3 linked regions of the Arabidopsis thaliana genome follow. The protein of the gene in region 2 interacts with the protein of the main gene of each other region in a pairwise test. Each region holds a gene or a part of one and is shown on either strand. Other genes may lie near its edges.

Evidence for each region. The genes of interacting proteins can lie anywhere in the genome.
Region 1: the proteins of MYB51 (region 2) and AT5G26190 interact in a two-hybrid assay, tested with the Arabidopsis thaliana proteins (one study listed by BioGRID).
Region 3: the proteins of MYB51 (region 2) and OBE1 interact in a two-hybrid assay, tested with the Arabidopsis thaliana proteins (one study listed by BioGRID).

What each region holds. Positions count from the first base shown.
Region 1 is NC_003076.8:9,151,811-9,158,832, forward strand, and holds AT5G26190 (Cysteine/Histidine-rich C1 domain family protein), read right to left. Parts: upstream 3,490-7,022; 5' UTR 3,489-3,489; coding exon 1,818-3,488; 3' UTR 1,708-1,817; downstream 1-1,707. Other genes in the region: AT5G26180 (S-adenosyl-L-methionine-dependent methyltransferases superfamily protein), read left to right, coding at 24-104, 299-460, 541-785; AT5G26200 (Mitochondrial substrate carrier family protein), read left to right, coding at 5,458-6,486; AL4 (alfin-like 4), read right to left, coding at 6,756-7,022.
Region 2 is NC_003070.9:6,386,015-6,393,336, reverse strand, and holds MYB51 (myb domain protein 51), read right to left. Parts: upstream 3,939-7,322; 5' UTR 3,573-3,938; coding exon 3,437-3,572; intron 3,323-3,436; coding exon 3,193-3,322; intron 3,104-3,192; coding exon 2,311-3,103; 3' UTR 1,951-2,310; downstream 1-1,950. Other genes in the region: AT1G18560 (BED zinc finger and hAT dimerization domain-containing protein), read right to left, coding at 5,332-6,267, 6,344-7,224, 7,319-7,322. UniProt on the Arabidopsis thaliana protein: Transcription factor positively regulating indolic glucosinolate biosynthetic pathway genes.
Region 3 is NC_003074.8:2,481,163-2,488,833, forward strand, and holds OBE1 (potyvirus VPg interacting protein (DUF1423)), read left to right. Parts: upstream 1-3,291; 5' UTR 3,292-3,823; coding exon 3,824-3,846; intron 3,847-3,931; coding exon 3,932-5,031; intron 5,032-5,103; coding exon 5,104-5,714; 3' UTR 5,715-5,964; downstream 5,965-7,671. Other genes in the region: Hsp89.1 (HEAT SHOCK PROTEIN 89.1), read left to right, coding at 1-99, 217-276, 415-489, 558-662, 786-926, 1,023-1,115, 1,218-1,295, 1,423-1,677 and 5 more; AT3G07790 (DGCR14-like protein), read left to right, coding at 6,329-7,671. UniProt on the Arabidopsis thaliana protein: Probable transcription factor that acts together with OBE2 for the maintenance and/or establishment of both the shoot and root meristems, probably by controlling the expression of the meristem genes such as WUS, PLT1 and PLT2 and of genes required for auxin responses.

The DNA of each region.
Region 1 (7,022 bases), on a different chromosome or scaffold from region 2:
CCTTAACACACCTTTCCATGTAGATAATAACATGAACTATGACTCCATGAGACTGCACAAGCTCGCTGTTTTCCAGAAAAAGGCTCTTGCCCATGCACTCTCCTGTAAGTTTATATACTTGTCTCATGTTAGCTAAAACAAAAAATGAGGGTTTTACTTAGCTTTTGAAGAATCTCCCAAACACGTTGATCCATGTTAAATTTCCCCTCTATGAATGCATAAACCATATATACACTAAGAGAATCTTACTCTATATGTAGATATGAATGAGAACTAAAAACTTATATGTTTTAATTAGTTCCAAAGGTTGAGAGAGTCGTATACAGCACATGCTCCATCTACCAAATAGAAAACGAAGATGTCGTCTCCTCTGTTTTACCTCTGGCATCATCCTTGGGCTTCAAACTTGCTACCCCCTTTCCTCAGTGGCAGCGTCGTGGTCTCCCTGTATTTGCAGGATGTAAGTATCACCCTTACCATCGGGTTTCACCTGATTGACTCTGTTTCTAACCTTTTGATCATGTTGGCTTTGGCTTGCAGCTGAACATCTACTTAGGATGGATCCGGTGGAGGACAAAGAAGGGTTCTTCATCGCTTTATTCGTCAGGGCAAACAAACTCGATAACCCAAAATCGTCTGAACTTCCCGATAGAGTGTGTAGACGAAGACCCAAAGAAAGAACCATGCAGTTACATCCCTATCTTTGTCCCAAAATGTTCAGAGCTTGGAGTGGGACCTTGCACAGGCTCAAGACTAGGTTCCTGTTATCACGTAATGGTTGTTGAATTTTCAATTTTGTTTATGCCTTTGATCTTCATGTTGTCGTCAAAATTTTGCAACAAAGGCATGAAAGGAACATCGTAAGGTAAAATCAGAACCTCTTTAACTTTTTATCACATTACAAATTGCAGTACACAACATTATGGTTTTTTCATCAAAACAGAACACACAAAGAGAGATAATAAGCTCAAGCGACTTGAGCCTGAATGGTTTTTGGTTTCTTAGGCTCGGGAGAAGGAAGCTTCTCAACGGTCACCCCTCAACATATTGTCTATGTTCGGTGCTCATTACTTCGGTAAATTTAACTTCCTCACTATCTCCCACATCCTCTCAGTCCACACGTTCTCCTCTTAGCTTCCCTCTGCTTCTCTCCGCTCACCATAAGCACCTTCTCATTCTCAATCTCTACTCTGACATCTTCTCCTTCAAACTCTGGCATACCCACCACAAAAGTGTAGGCGCTCGGGTACTTATAACATAGGCATTGCTGACATATGCTCTTGAGGGATTGCTGCGGTCTGCCTTTTCATGTTCCTCCGGGAATTCGTTCTAGTATGTCTTCGAGGAAAATGGTGGTGTTGAGCCTAACCTGTCCACACCAAGATATATTCGTTGTTTGCCTTTCTGTTATGTCTTTAGTCCTAAAATGATATGTTGTATTGTATCTGTGCGTTAGGTCTTTGAAGTTTATATAGATTGATTAGGAAATGCTTTGTATTCGTAACGTATGTTCCCTTGCAGGTACATAAACGACGAAGCGTGGAAGATTTGTGTCCTATGAATGGTCTGAAACAGTATTTGCGATATCTGGTTAATCTTTTTACAAAAAATGTCTGAATGGTGAAAAATAAGCATTGGATCATAGAGATTGTACATTTGATATATATAAAAATAAAGGCAATTATTAAGCATAGATCACAGATTTAGACTAACCACTGAACGTAGTGAGATTTATATAAAAAAAATAGCATTGAACTTATTAAGACACAACTATGAAAGTAATTAATGTGATCTTTGCCACAACATTATTATTTAGATTACAGTTTAATACGTTGCATACTCATCACAAGAGAATCGAGACATTTAAGAGAACATAGGCATGATGTATCAGTCTCATCCTTGCTCTTCAGAACAAAAGCATCTTTGCATCGCAACGAACATATAGTACAAAACGGTCGAGATGTATGGTTATTGGAAACCACTTGGAACTCACGACTACATAAAAGAAAACTGTGCCCTGGCCTCATGTAAGGTGATTTACCGAGTACGCAGTCGATATGAAGAGTCGAACAACATTTGTCACATGAGTAAAACCACTTCCTTGGATCGGTTGGTTTTTCGCATATCTCACACCAATAATTACCGTAGCGATATCCACTGTATCGTAGATAGAGAGGATGTTTGTCGTTCTTGTTGAAGACCTCTTTTGGTAAAGTAGCACATTTGAAGCACAAAAAGAAATCAAGTTTAACACAACTCAGTGAGCCGTACACCATTTGGTCACACGCCGAGCACTCCCGAGGAAAAAGTGAGAGGATAAATAAGGAATGCAAATGACTATCATGGTTAAACTCGTCTGAGATTGTAGCACAACGAACATCCAACTTTACATTTCCGCTCTCGTACCTAAACCCGTTGCTTGGTCTTTGACAAGCAACACATGTGAAAAAGCTTTTGGAAAGCTCGAGATCTTCTCCAGGTTTAGGATTCGGGTAAAGAGTAAAGTGATTCTTGTGTAACTCATGCCTTTTTGTCCGCGGAAGATTAGCGCATGTTTCATGAAGAATGAAATCACAATGCGTGCATATATAGCATGCATCGTAGTAGAATGGAAGAACGCATGCGTAGCATCTTTGGTTTTCGTCGCGAATAAGAACATCTTGATAAATAAATCTTAATATATGTTCATGACTAAAGTGTTTTATAACTTTGTCATCAATCACCTCAAATGGCGTTATATCCTCGGTTTTGTTATCTCCCTCTTCTTCAGGTATTCCATCAAGTTCTTTCCCATCCCATACATCATCCCTTATTGCGCACTTGGAATGGACTGCATAATGACAAACCGAGCAAGAATACGCTCCATATTGGTTATTGATAATTTTATGGCAAACTCCGCATATCCACTCCTCCGGTCTAAGAATATCGACATGAGAAATACGGTGATCATGACGATTAATACTTATAACACTAGGTAAATCAATGCAATCTCTATGAATGATGAAGCAACATTGAAGACATGTGCAAGGATATGAGGAATTATCTACAGAGCCGCAAGCATCGCAAGTGAAGGAGACAGAATCGATGGGCATAAGGGAAAGCGGGTGCTTGTGGGATGTTGTCTTGTAGATAAGTAATGGCCTCTTCAGACAAGCCATACACACCTCGAACATACAACGTGAACAATTGTAGAACATATCCAATAACTTGTATCTACAAAGACAACATTGGTCCCGTCTACGGTAACCTATGATACGTTCATGCAGCTTAAGAGGATGCTTATGATGAGAAGGGCTGGTGATCTCAATGCAGTCTTCATGAAGAGAAAACTCGCATTGATTACAAGTCAAGACTTTGGTGGGTTCAAGTCTCTCTATGGAACACACTCTGCATTTAGAGGAAATGTTTGTAGGGAACAAAAAATGACGATGAACTGCCAATTTAACTGCACCAAGAAACCCGTCACGGATTTTGTCTATCTCTCCCATGTTTTGATTGTATTGAATTTACATAATATGTGTATATATATTTTTATATTATTGTGTATGATGTATCTTAAGGAGCAAATGATTCCTTTCGTCTAGATCATTGTAACAAAAACCTTTCTTATAAAGTAAACGAAAGAGAACACTTACAAAAAACTATTGCTTTGTTTTGAATTAAGTTATGTCCGAATATTAGCTGGGGCACGTTTCTTTGCTACTTTTCTATAAGGAATCAAAAAGGTGAGGAAAATATATGAAATTGCTTATAAACGTGTGTCTTATTTAGAGAGACAATTTAAGTGATGTCCAAAAAAAAATGATGTTTATGTATTGTGTTAACAATAACGTCAAAAGTAGTGACCCAGTGGTAAAAAATTGGGGATATGGTGTCAATCCATTCCTCCCTTATATTCGATTTTTACTGAGAATTCTTTCACTTCTACTTGGCCAGTCAAAATAGTATTATACTGTCCAAGCCTCTGTGGTCTAGTGGCGCAAGCTTTGATGAAGGGTGAAACCTTCGTACCTAAGTTCCATTTTCTTTTGAAACAAAATTACATTTGTTTGGAAAGTTTGACAATTGGGTCTTAACCTAATTAATTTATCTAGTATTTAGAAATACAGGCGGCTTGACTAACCCCTTGTTTACCAGATCAGCCGATAGAGTATATAAAAAAAAAAAAATAGTTTAAATCATTTGAACGGATATTTAAAAGCTACTTTCATCCAGTAAAATAGTGAGATCGGTTTTGGCTAGATTTGAACTAGTCTGGTATGAGAAGTGTTAGTGTAGTCAAGAATGCTGAACATGTACACCAGAACTATACAACTAAACACAACAGTCAACACATATACCAAAAACAGTTAATATTTATATCTAAATCCTTTAAACTCATTAAATTTATGCTCCACAACATTTAAAGTGACATGGAAACCAAGCAGCATTTGGTGCAGTGACGAGTTAGGTCTCTCATAAAAAGTGAGATTTATGGCCCCTTGAATTCGAGGCTTTTCAGTTAAAATTGACGAGACATATGAGGAATCAACGGCTGACTCTCGTAAATTGTGAGATTATGGAAATCAGTTTGAAATGATTTTTCTACTTTATCCTAAGAAAAATCAAACGAAATTACATGCAATCAAACGATTTAACAATGATAAACAAGCATTTGATCATAAGAACCGAGAAGATTGACAAAAATAAACATAAAGACAATTATATTAAGTACTAGACTACTAGTATAGAGAGCACATAGATCACAAGATTTAGTATTATTCTGTTTGTCAAAACACTATACACTTAACACTTTACTTATCATCTAAAATCAATAAACTTTCATTTACAATCGAAAACTTGCATTTGCAATCTAGACTATTTCTTGGACCTTTTAAAAAAGTTATTTATTTCCATAAAATGTAAGAAATTCTATAAATAGGCTCTGTTATCCATACTATTATACATATGCATCTAATTTTATTTAAAATGTAACTAAAACAGTTATTGATAAATACATTATATCACAAAATAATCAAATGCAAAACCTACAGAAATCAGTAAAAATAAAATAAAATAATAAATATAATCCACAGAAGGATGAAACAAGTGGCGATTCCGACAGAAGCCACTCTCTTCTCAGCCTCATGTAACCTTAAAAACTGTGAGTTTCTCTAACATAAACCAACCAACACTTGCCACGTGCCCAGTCCCATTACTCCTCCTCACACACCTCTTGAGTCCGTTAAAGGCCGCTCCTTTTATGTTATCCACACGACCCATCGTTTTGGCTCTGACTCTATATTCACTATAATAATATTAATACACGAGTTCATAGATTTTGAAGCTAATAAATCCACAGAGATTTTCTCTCTTTGATCACAATTCAATCATACACTCTATTCTCATCTCTTACTCAGGTCAAAACTCTCTAAAGTTGGAATCTTGATTTGGTTTTTAAGGTAAGATTAGCTCAAAATGAGTTTAGGTGCTTTGATGGAAGAGAAGAGAAGAGCAACAACTTCATCTTCTTCTTCTCAGGTACATATGTCAAATGATATAGATTGGCAAATGCTTGATAAATCGAGGTTTTTCTTCCTCGGTGCTGCTCTTTTCTCCGGTGTATCCACTGCTCTTTACCCTATTGTAGTTCTCAAAACAAGGCAACAAGTCTCTCCGACTCGTGTCTCATGTGCCAACATTTCTCTGGCTATTGCTAGACTTGAAGGTCTTAAAGGGTTTTACAAGGGTTTTGGAACATCTTTGCTTGGAACCATCCCGGCTCGTGCTCTCTATATGACTGCTCTAGAGATTACAAAGAGTAGTGTAGGTCAAGCAACTGTTAGGTTAGGATTGTCTGATACTACGTCTTTGGCTGTTGCTAATGGTGCAGCTGGTTTGACCTCGGCTGTGGCTGCCCAGACTGTCTGGACTCCGATTGATATTGTGAGTCAAGGGCTTATGGTTCAAGGCGATGTCTCCTTGAGTAAGCATCTTCCTGGAGTGATGAACTCTTGCAGATACAGAAATGGGTTTGATGCTTTTAGAAAGATTCTTTACACAGATGGACCAAGAGGGTTCTACAGAGGATTTGGGATCTCGATCTTGACTTACGCACCTTCCAACGCGGTTTGGTGGGCGTCTTATTCTTTGGCTCAAAAATCAATTTGGTCTCGATACAAGCACTCCTACAACCACAAGGAAGATGCTGGTGGCTCAGTGGTGGTTCAAGCGTTGAGTGCAGCTACAGCAAGCGGTTGCTCGGCTTTAGTAACTATGCCAGTAGACACAATCAAGACGCGGTTGCAAGTCTTAGACGCAGAAGAGAACGGGAGGAGACGAGCAATGACAGTGATGCAGTCAGTGAAGAGCTTGATGAAGGAAGGAGGAGTTGGTGCTTGTTACAGAGGATTAGGACCAAGATGGGTCTCAATGTCGATGTCCGCAACAACGATGATCACAACCTACGAGTTCTTGAAGCGCCTAGCAACAAAGAAGCAGAAATGATATATTGATAAAACCTTGTTGTGTTAAGACTAACCAAAATACTTTTGATTGAGTTTGAAGAATGTTAATAAACAAACATAAAACAGAGCAAAAGATCATTACCCCTAAACAAAGAGTTATCCCTTCAATCGCCAAAATGTAACAATGAAAAAACTAAAATGTCTTCCTAAATTACCAAATCCATATGACAAATCTGATCTAAACCAAACAGTTAAGCTGTTCATCATCATATGCAAAGGTAGATACACAGAAGCGAGCGGTCAACAAATTTAGGAACGAGCCCTTTTGTTGCTGCAAGAAGGGCACTTGTATTGCTTGATGTGCTCAGCTCTTGCTGGTGTTATCTTAACACACTTTCCATGAAACCACATCTCACAGAGGTCACAGCAAATCCAGAACTCATCAGCTGCATAGCTCTCACCACATGCTCCACACTGTGTTTCACCTTGCTCATCCTCATCCTCCTCTTCCACACCTTCCTCTTCCTCCTCCTCATCATCTTTCGGCTCCGGCTTTGAGAACTTGGCACGGGATTC
Region 2 (7,322 bases):
CAACTGCAAAGACCGGCAATGACTTAGTGACGACCCACATGCTTATGCATTATTTATGATATTAGAAATTATTTTAAATATATTTATCCACAAACTACTGTATCAACCTCTTTAAATCGACTATCAGATCAAAAAGTTAAGAAATTAAAGGAAGAAAAGAAAAAGAAAATTAGATATGGCCCGGTTGATTGCATAGTGTACATGATCATAAAATACTTGCAACTTGTTTATATAATTTGTTAGAAAACAACAACTTATTCGATAGATTTATCTTTCATTGATTCGTGGAAGCAACCCTCGCGAGTGGAATAACAAAAATTAATGTGTATGAATTACTTTATATTCGTTTTTGAAAGCAATTTTCCATCAAAATGATTAAATTTTCATGTTTCACCTAGCAGAACGAGCGACTTACATATATCTGAAGAGTTCAAAAAGACCAAAAGTAAGAATCGTTCGTTCCTGTCAACATGTACATCTAGTCATCTAGATGAATCTCCATAACACGTCTCACGTACACAAAATCTGATAAGACGGCGCTAACAGTGTTGATGAACAGATGGGAGAATCTAATAAGTAGCATCTCCAAAAATGTCAACACGAAAATTTTCGGGTAAATCCAAGACTCCAATATGGCAATATACCATGGAATCCATGGAATCCCCCACTTATTCCCAAAAGGGTTACTTTACTGAAGATAAACTTGAATAAACAAACGATCAAATTAATTACCGTACCTGAAATACAAATGTATAGTATCGTGGGAATACGTCAACGCTCAAATCATGATATTGGACTATAAACATCAAAATGTCTTTTATCTTAGTAGGCATCCTCACGCAGAAAAATAGAATTGAAGTATTGATTTATTCAAACATTGTTAGCGTATTGTAATCTGAATTTCAATATAATATACGTGTATATAATTTATAGATGGTAAAAGAAAATTGTAAATATATATTCAGAAATTAACTACCACTCTTTGTAACTACGTATGATAATTAAATTCTAACAATCACCAAAAGATCAGAAGTCCAAATATTCAGAAAATTTTCATTTTTCATACGGGTATTACAATTGTTATTTTTACAAACCAACAATTGGGCAAAAAGCCAACGATGTAATATTTTTTTCATTACCTATAGTTTTAAATCAGACATGATAATAAGATATAGGCTGTCCCTGGAAATATAATTTTTATTTTCTAATCACTTTATTTATATAGAGAAAACACTATCTTTGAAAAGCAAATTAATTCATTCACCCTTTTTTTGAAATATTAAAATATTGAAACAAATCACAAATCAGCTTTTGCTTTTGTTTTCTTCATGGTGCTTTCGAAAGGTTAGGGATCATAATGCACTTTTTCTTATCCTTTTTTTTTTTTTGGTATCAACTTCTTCTTATCTTTAACCCTCGGAACATTCAAAGAATGATCCTCTCGCTTGCTTTAAATTTATGTGGGTCTCATTGCTGAATATTATTCGTATGTTGATAGGGTGAATTTTATATACATTAGAGAATGAAAGATTTAAGTCACAAAATAAGTTAATCGTTGGTTTTTTTTTTAATATACAAAACTGGTTGAGGATATATTTCTTTACCAATCTGCTCAATCTATTAGCCCTAACTCATAAAATAAACCAGAGCATCTCCATCCATACAATTTTTAGAGTTTCTTTTGATAAAGATAATATAAATAATTAATAAATGAGGAGAGAGAATGACAAAAAATGAAGAAACGTTTCTTGAGAAATTTTGGAATAATCAGTGAAAGACTATTTCTATAAGTGTTTGCTTATAATTGAATATTTTTTTTAAAAAAAAATAATTACAAAATTAAATTACAGTAATTTTTTATTTTATTTTAAAACCTTTTAAAGTATCTTACAGATGAAGATGACCTAATAGTGGAATACTGCCAATTAAAATTTAAAATAGCAATGGTACTAGTAGTTAGCAGCAGCAGCAGCTAATGAATGATTTTTCAAAATAAAGCAATCTCATATTCGGATGGATACAAATTCTGATAACCAACACAATAAAAGTACTAAAGTTAACAACTCGTTAACATTATAATTATTACATCACCATTTATAATCCATTTACAACGAAACAACACACTTCAGACCAAAAAAAAAAAACACAAAAACACAAGCATATGTGACAACACGAACTACATTCATGATTCATGCATGGTCATCATCACCATCATTATTTATTATTATTACCATCAACATCATCAAGGTAACATATCCATAGACATCATATTGACATGGTCACGTGGGATTCATCGATTATGAGTTTCACTCATCCAAAATAGTTATCAATTTCGTCAAACAAGTCTTGACGTTCATAGACCGGCGTCACATCAACGACGTCGTTTTCATCCTCGTGAAGAAACCTCGTAAGTTCTTTCATGAACGCAGTGTTTTCAACACAAGACTCCTCCAACATCATGAAATCTTCATCATTCAGAAATGTGGAGAACCCGATAGTATCCTCATCATCAACGTTGTTATTACCAACGAAATTATCGCAGTACATTAGAGGATTGTTAACGGAGGAATCAGAGAACGTGGACGAAGAACACGTCAGATTAACGTTACCATCAACGTCAAAGTTCGATGAAACTGGTGTTGTTGCAACGGTCCCATGGCAGAGAAGATTCGAGGTTGGTGCGAAGGAAGAACTCGTTGACTTAACTGATTCAGAGTCAACGGAAACACTTGTAGTTGTAGTATTAGTAGTGTGACTAGTAGAAGCAAGTGGGCCTCCACTTCCGATAATCTCAGACAGAACACTCTGATTGATTCTCTTTCCGAACCTATTAGCTACTTTGTTCAAGAAACTAGCCGATGATAATCCAAAATTCTTGTTGTTCTTCTTCGCCTTGTCATTATCAAGATCATGGTCACTAGTTGTCAGATTAACATTTTGTTTCTCCGGGAGGTTTTCTGATTTGTCGGTACCGGAGGTTATGCCCTTGTGTGTAACTGGATCAATACCTTTCTTGATCAAACGTTTTTTGATATGAGTGTTCCAGTAGTTCTTGATCTCGTTATCGGTTCTTCCTGGTAGTCCACGAGCTATAGCAGACCATCTGATTAAAACCACATATAAGATTACAATATTAGTAAATGTTAATGCAAACAAAAAATAAGTATAAAATGTAGAGGTAGAGAGACTAACTTGTTGCCGTGAAGGGCGTGAAGAGAGATGATTGAACGTTCTTCGTCTTCAGTGAACTCTCCTCTTTTGATGTCAGGTCTAAGATAATTGGCCCATCTCAGTCTGCAGCTTTTGCCGCATCTCTTGAGTCCTATCCAATTAGAAGAATTATTTAAGTAAAATAATTGAGCAATAATGACCAATAAAGGTCCAACATTGAATATTCAAACATGACGGAATAAACATAATAAAAAATAATACATACCAGCTTTTTCGGGGAGAGTTCGCCATCCACCTTCACCGTGGCGGTTAAGGTAAGAGAGAAGCTTCTGATCTTCCTCGGGAGTCCAAGCTCCTTTCTTTAACCCTAGTTCAGCTTTGCAACACGGTGTCCGCACCATTCTTGATTCTTCAAACTTAGCTTTCTTGATCGAGTTCAAAGGGGGTTGTTCTCAAGTGAAACAAAGAGGGACAAAAAAACACAAAAAAAAAAACTGAGAGGTGAAACAAAGTGTGAAATGGGGCGTATGATCATAGAGATTGAGCACAAGATCTTTTGATTAAAGAATTCAGACATCGGTAGATTCTTCGAATAGACATCTTGTTCTTTTGTGATACTCGAGATCGTTATAACATTGAACGAGCAGAGGAGAAGAGAGATCTAGTTGCTCTGTTTTCTTACCACAAAGAGAGACACAAAGAGAAGGTTTTATAGAGAGAATCTTTTTTTCTCTAAAGAGAACTGTTTGTGTTACACTTTGCAAAGTGGGAAACTTATAGGAAAGAGCCCATCTCTATTTATGCTTGCCTGAGGCTGTACGTGTGGCTGCTGCCAACGTCGTCGTTTAAATATGACTGACACATGGCTCATTATGATTCCTTAACGCAATTTTTTATAATCGGATTATTACATAAAAGAAAAACTGCTAACTTTTGTCAGTGGACATTTTGACACTAGACTTTTGATCTTTCTTAAACTAATTTATTTTATTTTGATTGTCAATAAAAAAATACTACGAAGACATCTATTATATAATATCATTTTTCATAATCCCATGCATAAGAACCGCCACATCTGATATGATATTGATAGTAGCAAAAAAAGGGGAAAAAATAGAATGAATATAGCAAAGGTTGCTAAAAAAAAAGAATGAATATCAAGCATGCAAAATATGTAACGTAAAATTGTCTTGCCTATGTAAATAGCTAATTACGTATCAATTTATTTTGAAATCTATGTCTGCTATGCAAATAGTTTTGATTATGCAATCCAAAATATAAAATTTATTGAAGAATTATAATACGGCGCCGGCAGGTCCGGAACACCAATTAAATTAAAATCCTGTTGAACTTTCTCTTCGATCTTTGGAGATATTTTGTATTGACCCGATTCTTGACCAAAATTTTATTTTAGTTTTTTGGTATTGACCGTCGGTCCAAAGTATATATGAAACTATAATTTCTCAGCAAGTTTTTAATTTTATAACGAGTAAAAAAAAAGCTTTATTGAAATTGGCAACAAATTTTAACCAATGTAAAAAAACATTTTGAATTTATCAGAAGAGTTAAAAAATGTCTATCGAAATGAAAAACCACAAAGGTACGTTTCCATGACAGAATGAATTCAACTTTAAAACTTGGAGTGCGAGGACTTTTCAAAATACGACTGAACTCTTAGTATTTTTTTCTCTCAAATATTTAAATATGCTTAAACAATCATAGAGACGACAAAATTATAAAGAAACAATTGGCAAACTAGCACACGAATTGAAAATTCGAGGAAGGTAAGGTAGAGAGGTACAACACAAAAGTAGTCGTATTTGAACTAGATTAAATTAAAGCAACAACTTGGTCACTCAAACACTGGACTTGGACATATCGATATCCATTATACCAAGGAAAAATCTAAGGTACAAAGAAAGAGATAAGCTATTTTCTTTTTTCGTACAACTAATTTCCACTTTTCTAGTTAGACAGAACCCATTAATTAGTCAACATTGTGTTTTTTTTTCTCTCTAATATGATATGAAAGTACATACGGTTATGAAGAAAGCTAACCAGCTTGGTTTACATCAACCCAACTCTAAATTCAATGATTCATGCTAAAAGTATGACAACTAAATTACAGTAGTTCTTTAGTACAAATACTAAAAAATAATCTCACCTATGTTGTTGAATTTTTTCTAAACCTCCGGCAGAATTATCAGCGGCCACGGTGGCAGCTAACTCCATTAGTCGTTCATAGTCAATCTCACTACACTTGTACTTCAGTTTCATACCAGCTTCAATCCATGATCTGATACAAATAACAGATTGTGTGCTATCATGAGGCATGCAATACTTCTGCTTATCAATCTCTTCTCCTTTACCACAAAAGATCTCTTCCGGTGCAGCAGAAGTCGCCTGAACCGCAAGGAAATCCCGAGCCATGTTGGAAAGTCGCGGGTATCTTCCACTGTTTACCTTCCACCAATCAAGCACATCAGTCTGCATTGGAACTATAGACTCTGATAAGTACTGAGTCAGTTCATCAACAACATTGTTACTCATACTTCCTCTTCTTTTCCTTCTAGCGATTTCCTCTGCAAATGAGATATTTCCTCCTCCTTCATCTACCTCCTGAGGACGATACCCGCTAGTCATTGAAGATGTGAAATGAGAGGAAGAATAGTTACGAATGAAATGACTTCTTGCTTCATCTATATAGCTCTCGAGATTAATCGTCTCTGGAATGTACTCTGTTTTGATCCGCGGGTCAAGAATGGCTGTAATGTAAGTGAATACGTTGCACACTTGAGTGTTGTAACTTCTGGCCTTCTGGGCCATGCTCTCAGCACAAGTTCTTAGCCAGTCTGGGTTGTGGCATGATTTCTGGCAAGTTGTGATCATCTCGGATATGTTATCCATGAAGAGCAGTGCTAGACCAACCGTGAGATCCTTGTTCGTGCACATATCGTTAGTGGTCTTGTGAAATGAATCCAAATCCAAGTAATTGTGGACAATAGTCACCGCGTTCTTCTCTACAGAACTCAACATCATTCTGTTCTCTAGAGCATCCTCGTTTTTCCTAATCACCGAGTCCAAGGACTTGCTAGCCTGCAGCAATATAAGCCATCACATATAAATATCTCAGAGCTTGATGGCTTACAGGTCAAAGTTATAGACATCTTACCTTGCACAAGATGTTGACCATCTGGTAATTGCCACTCCAACGAGATGAAGCATCGATGGGTAGTTTCCAGTTGCCTTCTTGATAAGCTGTTGTCAACTGAATGAAATCATCAGATAGCTCTGTGGACGCGTTTAACTCTTGTGTGAATTCTCTAACCTTAGAGATAATGGGCTTTATAGTTGCTAACCCCTCATCAATAATATCATTCAGAGTTTGAGCGGCACAGGGAATGTAGCAGAAAGGTAAGACCTTTTGACCATCAAAGTACTCCTTCAGGCTATGACAAGCGTGAATAGCGTTTTCGCTGTTGTCATGTGTACAACATAGAATCCTGTCTTCAATGGCATATGTCTTAAGGACTTTCAAAAGGGAGTTATAAATCTCAGAACCCCCAGAGGGATAAGGAATCCGACATATGTCGAGCAGCAACCTATGAGACGACCAATTTTCATCTATCCATTGACCCGTTACGCTCATATAAAAAATGTTTTCATATGAATTCCAGAAACTTAAAGTGACAGAAACTTTGGACTGGATATGCTCCAAGGTTGTCTTCACATCTCCCCGCATACTTGTGAAAACCTCATCAAGTATGGCTTTATATTTTTCAGCCGGCCATAACTGGATGGATGGCTTAAGAAATTTGAAGGAGTTTCCCAACCATGTTTCGTCTACAGTAGAGGGAGGAAGTGATGACAAAGCAAGCCACTTGAGAACTAACCAGTTAAGATGATCATAATCGAGTTGTGGTACTTTCGACTGGGATTGTGACGGTTTAACAACAGCCGGTGGTGTCTGTGGTACTGATGAGCTGGTGACAACATCTGCTGCTGCCTTATCATAGCCTGGATGTCGATTAGTCAGATGCCTTCCAAGATTTCCTTAAGAGCAGGAAAACAGAACAAGAACAAAAAATATGTTGTTAGTAAAATCAAAAGGACTTGGAATAAAATGCAGAGGATATAAGAATAATACCAGT
Region 3 (7,671 bases), on a different chromosome or scaffold from region 2:
TTTGCAGATCCTGAGCGGATTCAGAAGCTCGTGAAAAACTATTCCCAGTTTGTTTCTTTCCCTATTTACACTTGGCAGGAAAAAGGATACACAAAAGAGGTATGATCACCAGAGTTAGCAGATTTGTGAACTTAAACATATGTACTTTTGTGTCAGATGCAACTAATATTCTTACCTTATTAACTGGCTTTGTATATTTGGCTCTCTCTCTTGCAGGTTGAGGTTGAAGATGATCCAACTGAAACAAAAAAAGATGACCAAGATGACCAAACTGAGGTATATATACCTGCGTCTCTTTACCTGTTCTAAGAAATACCTTGATCAGCTTCTGGAAATATCTTAATCAGCATCAGAAGATAGCTAGATGTGTAAGAAAAGTTGGCTTAGGGTTGGGGACTATTTTTCTTGTAACAGAAAAAGAAGAAGACCAAGAAGGTTGTTGAGAGATACTGGGATTGGGAGCTTACAAATGAGACACAACCGATTTGGGTAAGGACTTGTCAATGTATCTTGAGTGCACTCTGAATCAATTTAACAGTGTATTTTATTTATTGCAGCTGCGTAACCCTAAGGAGGTGACAACAGCAGAATACAATGAGTTTTACAGAAAAGCTTTCAATGAGTATTTGGACCCATTGGCTTCATCCCATTTCACGACAGAGGTATTTTCAAAGGAACACATTTATTGAATTGGATATTTCCATTAAACAGCCGAATTAGATCGTCTTTGTTAGACGATCCACTGAAATATAATGCTCTTTGATTCTCTTGTTGGCAATGCTCAGGGCGAAGTCGAGTTTAGGTCTATCCTATATGTGCCACCTGTTTCACCATCGGGGAAGGATGACATAGTCAATCAAAAGACAAAGAACATAAGGCTCTATGTTAAACGAGTTTTCATTTCAGATGACTTTGATGGGGAGCTGGTGAGAAAAGTTTCTTTTGGTGTGGTTCAAATTTCTTTCAAGAAACCTCTGTCTTTCTAATTATATTGATATCATTTTTGTGGTGTTTGTGGCCAGTTTCCTCGGTACTTGAGCTTTGTTAAAGGTGTTGTGGACTCGCATGATCTCCCACTTAATGTATCACGTGAGATTCTTCAAGAAAGTCGCATAGTAAGCGCTCATATCCAATTCGTATGCAAAGCCTTTATGATATATGTTTTGTTTTAAGTGCAATGCTATGTTAAGCTTACGATTTTGTATTGTGTCTCCAAGGTGCGGATCATGAAGAAACGTCTAGTGAGGAAGGCTTTTGATATGATTTTGGGTATATCCTTGAGTGAAAACAGAGAAGTATGTTTCATAACTCTTGTTCCCCTAAGCTTACAGTTTAACCTTTTTTAATTCCCTTTAGAAATCACTGCTACGTTCTGGTGATGATTTTCCTGACGAATGAGAATGGCATTGTTAACCTATACAGGACTATGAGAAGTTTTGGGATAATTTTGGCAAACACTTGAAATTAGGGTGCATCGAAGACCGTGAAAACCACAAGCGTATAGCTCCACTGCTTCGATTTTTCTCCTCCCAGAGTGAGAATGACATGATCAGCTTGGATGAGTATGTTGAGAACATGAAACCTGAACAGAAAGCCATATACTTCATTGCTTCTGACAGCATTACAAGTGCTAAGAATGCACCTTTCCTCGAAAAGATGCTGGAGAAAGGACTTGAAGTATGTGTTGTTCTTCTGAATGGGGCCTCGTTTTGTTCTTCCTTGCAAATATTCCTATTAACTCAGAGGTGATTGACATGTATTTCTTTGTATTGTGAACGTAGGTACTATATTTGGTAGAGCCTATTGATGAAGTTGCCGTACAGAGTTTAAAAGCTTATAAGGAGAAGGATTTTGTAGATATCAGCAAGGAAGACTTGGATCTAGGCAAGTGCCTGATGTAATTCCTTGATTTAGCATGTCAGGTAATCACTTATGTATAATAACAAATTCTGGCTTTGATCTTTGTATTGACAGGAGACAAGAACGAGGAGAAAGAGGCAGCAGTGAAAAAAGAGTTTGGACAGACTTGTGACTGGATAAAGAAACGATTGGGTGACAAGGTTGCCAGTGTTCAAATTTCCAACCGTCTTAGTTCTTCCCCCTGTGTTCTTGTATCTGGTAAATTTGGTTGGTCAGCCAATATGGAGAGGTAAGATCTGACCTTTTTCTTAAGCAAGGATTTCCGTTCTCCTTTTTTGCCCCTGGTGAACTAACACAGAATATGTTATCTGGACAGGCTAATGAAGGCACAATCAACTGGTGACACAATAAGCCTCGACTACATGAAAGGGAGAAGAGTGTTTGAGATCAATCCCGACCACTCAATTATCAAGAACATAAATGTGAAGTCACCATTCATCATAACTTGTACCTGGCTATTATAATTAAATCTAGGAGCCGCTTTTTGAGCTTGGCTTGTTTTTTTCTTGCACCCTGCAGGCTGCTTACAATAGTAACCCAAATGACGAAGATGCAATGAGAGCCATAGATCTTATGTATGACGCAGCACTAGTTTCTAGTGGGTTCACGGTGAGTCCTATTCTACATTAACATTCTTAACTTTTTGTTGTCTCTAGAATTGAAATAAAGTAAATACTGGTAAAACTTAATTGTTGTTTCTCAAAACTACAGCCCGATAATCCAGCAGAGCTGGGTGGGAAGATATATGAGATGATGGATGTAGCTCTTTCCGGGAAATGGTCAAGCCCTGAGGTGCAGCCGCAGCAACAGCAGATGGCACATTCTCACGATGCAGAGACGTTTGAAGCTGAAGTGGTTGAACCAGTCGAAGTGGATGGGAAGAAATGAACACAAGCCTAATGTTTTATGTCCCTGCTACGATTCTCATCATATTCTTCTTCTTTTATTAGTAGTAGCAGTAAAAGTAGAACCCCAAAACTCAGAACAATAGGCAATGAGCGAATGATAATCTCTATTTATGTTGGAGAGATTAATAATTGATTGAGCTTGTTTTTGTTCCAGTTTGTGTTGATCCTCCTCGGTATAATTTTAATAACCGTTAAGAAAAATTCAGTTGGGGTGTTTTTGGAAAGATTTTTCGAGTTTTATCTAACAAAACTAAAATTTTGGGACATATGGTAATTTTTAATTAAATAGAGGGATGTTGTTATCGTACGAATTGGGTTGGTTTAAAACTTTGTTTGGACAGATTCGACTCAAACGTTGAACGCGTTTAAAAAAGTCAACAAAAGTCGAAGGTTACCGGCTGGTCAGGTTAACCGTTAGAGATTAATGAACTGGCAGCTGTATGTCTTTTTTATAGTTCTGTCTTAACAGGCAAAAAAGTGTTTAATTTATCTTTCCTTTGGGTTTCTCACGGAGTCACGGTTCCTCGTTCGTCCTCTCCCGTCGTCTCTCCGGTGAGTCCTTAATTTTCCGGCGGTCTTTTTCCCTTTCTCGTCTGTTTGGTGCTTTCTTTATGTCTGAGGCGAATACAGCAAAACGTATCTGTTTTGGTTGTTGAGTTCGAGGCTGGTCCTGAAAATTCGGTGACAAAAAGAGTCAATAACTCTCGTGATCGAGTTGGATGCGTTGTTTTGAGGGTTGATTCAGTTTATGACTATGTATTTTGGTACTTGCAAGATTTTCTGATTTTATGAAGATTCGTGTTTGACTTTTATAGCGTATAATCTACGGGGCAAACAGATTCGAGCAACTTGTTTTTTTCTAGCGCTTGTTTTGTGTTTACTCTGTCATGTGTTTGTATTTTTTGAGCTTCCACTAGTGATTAATCATCTCAGCTCAATTTGAACATAGGAGATGTAGTTTTTATCTGTCGGTGGATTTCTAGGGATTTTGCAAAATGTTTTGGGCTTTCCTGAATTAGTATGTGATTTGGTCGTAAAGTATTTTAGGGATTTATGTGTTCCTTGGGGTGAATCTGACATTGACATTATCTTGGTGTCTGCAGCACTAAATTGATGGGCACATCATCTGGGTCCAATCTTCCTCACCAGATGCTACCTCCACGTCAGCAACTACAAACATCTCTTTCGCTTGTATCTTCAGATCCCCACTTGTCACGGTCTAATTCTGGCATTGTGCGTGAATCACCAGCTGAAAGTGCTAGCTCTCAAGAAACTTGGCCAACCTCAAAATCTATTATGGGAAGGAAGACAGATAGCGGAAAGACAGGGCCTGACTCTCATGATCAACATGTGATCCGCCATGTTTCCATTGCTGATAAGGTATCGCTACGGGACATAGCTAGAGAGAGACTTGACATAGTCGCTGAGAGAATGCATCGATTACCAGAAGAATATCTCGAGGAGTTAAAGAATGGTCTTAAGGCTATCCTTGAAGGAAATGGTGCGCAGCCTATAGATGAGTTTATGTTTCTGCAGAAGTTTGTCCAGACGAGATCTGATTTAACTTCAAAGACACTTGTCAGGGCTCACCGAGTGCAGCTTGAAGTTCTTGTGGTTATAAACACTGGTATCCAAGCATTCTTGCACCCAAACATCAATCTCTCTCAGTCATCACTCATCGAGATCTTTGTGTACAAGAGATGCAGAAACATAGCTTGCCAAAACGAACTCCCGGCTGATGGTTGTCCCTGTGAGATATGCGCTAATAGGAAAGGCTTCTGCAACCTGTGCATGTGTGTGATATGTAACAAGTTTGACTTTGCAGTCAACACATGCCGCTGGATTGGCTGCGACGTGTGTTCTCATTGGACTCATACGGATTGTGCTATTAGGGATGGGGAGATTTCGATGGGAGTTTCTCCCAAGAGCGTATCTGGGATGGGAGAAATGCTGTTCAAGTGTCGAGCGTGCAACCATACTTCTGAATTGCTGGGGTGGGTGAAAGATGTGTTTCAGCACTGTGCACCAAACTGGGATAGGGAATCTTTAATGAAGGAACTTGACTTCGTTAGTAGGATTTTCCGTGGAAGCGAAGATACAAGAGGCCGGAAACTCTTCTGGAAGTGTGAGGAGCTTATGGAGAAGATTAAAGGTGGACTGGCTGAAGCAACAGCGGCCAAGTTGATACTCATGTTTTTCCAAGGTAAGCCCACTCGCTATTGTTATATGATAAGGGTTTACTCTTTATAGACCTAACCATGTTTTGTGTATGAAGAAATTGAATTGGACTCTCCAAAGAGCCTTGAAAGCGGAGAAGGTGGGGGTACGATAGCACCTCAAGATGCATGCAACCGAATTGCTGAAGTTGTAAAGGAAACACTGAGGAAAATGGAGATAGTGGGTGAGGAAAAGACGAGGATGTACAAGAAAGCGCGAATGGGGCTTGAGGAATGCGAGAGAGAGGTAGAAGAGAAAGCAAAGCAAGTGGCGGAACTGCAGATGGAGAGGCAGAAGAAGAAACAACAGATAGAAGAGGTGGAGAGGATAGTGAGGCTGAAGCAAGCAGAGGCAGAGATGTTTCAGTTAAAAGCAAACGAGGCAAAAGTGGAAGCAGAGAGATTGGAAAGGATTGTGAAAGCGAAAAAGGAGAAAACAGAAGAGGAATACGCAAGTAACTATTTGAAACTGAGGCTGAGCGAGGCGGAGGCAGAGAAAGAGTATCTGTTTGAAAAGATAAAAGAGCAGGAAAGTGGTGGGAATGGTGGTGAAGCGTCACAAGCAGTGATGTACTCAAAGATCAGAGAAATGCTGCATGGATACAATGCATCGTCGCCAAGGGTAGATCCAAGATCAAACCAGCGAAATCCTTTCAGATCCAATCCTTAGATGTTTGTATTGTCTCTCTTTGTTTGTATTAAAAAAAAAATCCGAATCAATTAAGGTTGGATTTGTGTGTGAAGTATTGTGGTCTTTGTATTCAAATTTTGCACATGATCGTCTATGTTGGGCCATAATGTTATGCAAGCTTTGACACAGAGTGTTGCCAAAATCTCGATACTTATTCACTCGGATTTAGAGAATTGTGGATTTCGCTAATGGAGGGAGATCCATGTTACCTTAAATAGTTTATATTTGAGCCAACATGAGAGCCAAAGAACATCGCCACCGACTTTAAAAAGAAAATATTTTGCCCAAATGGATATTACAGAGTAGTTATTTGCAATAACGTCCTCATGTTTGGGTTATAATAACGATTTGATTTCTTACGGGGTATAAAGCAAAAGGAATCAAAACGTTTGGGGAAATAATGTAATATTCTGGAAACAAAACGCGTATAATCGGATTGATAAGGAATATTATATCATCGCCGATGCAATCATCGACCATCGTTTTGTTTTCCTGTCTACCCAAAAACAAACCCTAGTGTCCGAATTCTCGACAAAATTCATCGGCTCCAAATTCCATTCGTGCTTTTTGAATTCGCGTTCTTCTGATTCAAGATGTTTCTTTCACCTGGTCATTCTCCTCGTCAGATTTCTTCTCCATCGCCGTCTTCTTATTCCGATGATACCCTCCGATCAACGCCTCGCAGTTCTTCCTCGGAGATCATTCCTCGAAACCCTAGAAAACGGATGAGAGTTCTCGATGAGGACGCTTATGTTGAAGCAATCGAGAAGATCATCGAGCGTGATTACTTTCCAGATATAACTAAGCTTAGGGATCGGCTCGATTGGATCCAAGCGGTGAAAACCCGTGACCCGATTCAAATCCGAGATGCCCAGTTGAAGATTATCGAGAGGCGTGGAAAGAAGGCGAATCATCATGTTGGAGATACCGAGGGTAAAACTCAAACTCCTGGATCTACTTTTCTGAGAAATTTCACTCCTTTAGATGAATTTGATGGTAAAACCCCTAGAACTCCTGGAGTATCTGGTAGAGAATTTCATGGTGTTGAAGTAGATGCTGGTGATGGAGATGAAGATATAGATCTTAATTTGTCCCTAGATGAGTTCTTTAGGAGATATACTAGTGAGGATAACGAGAGCTTTTCGAAGATTCTTGAGAAGGTAAATAGGAAGAAGAAGGAGAAGTATGGCTTTCTCCTTGAAGGTGAAAAGGAGGATGGTAAATCTATTGAGGATGTGAAGAGAGATAGGATTACAGATGGGTATGGTACATCTGATCAGCCACCGAGTACTTTAGAAGGATGGAAATATACGGCGAAGAATCTTCTGATGTACCATCCAGCTGATCGGGGTGAGGCGCCTTTAACTGAGGCGGAAAGGGCAGTGAGATTACTTGGATTGACTAAGGAGATAGTTAAAGGGAACACTCGTTTTCATGGTAAGACTATGGATTCTAGGCCAAGAGAAGATGGTTCTGTTGAGATTCTCTACACTCCAATCGCAGGTTCTTCCCCGATGCATATCTCAGGTAGGGACAGAGACAAGTCTAAAAGGTATGATCTTGATGATCTAAGGAAAACACCGAATCCTTTCTATGTGGAATCAGATAAGAGGGCAGACAATGGGTATAGTTTTGTTAGAACGCCTTCTCCTGCTCCAGGTCTTGATGAATCACCCTTTATAACATGGGGTGAGATTGATGGGACACCAATGCGATTAGATCTTGAGGATACACCTATTGATATTGGTGGTAGTGCTGATGGACCGCACTATAACATTCCATCTGCACCTCCTAGAGATGTAAGGGCACATTCATTATCAAGGGATGCATCGCGAAAACTTAGAGAGAGATCGAATAGTATGTTTAAGAAACCTCCGTTGCCATCTCCTCATCGAAGTGGAAGTGCAAGTCCGAATGTTAGGACTCTTTCACCCGC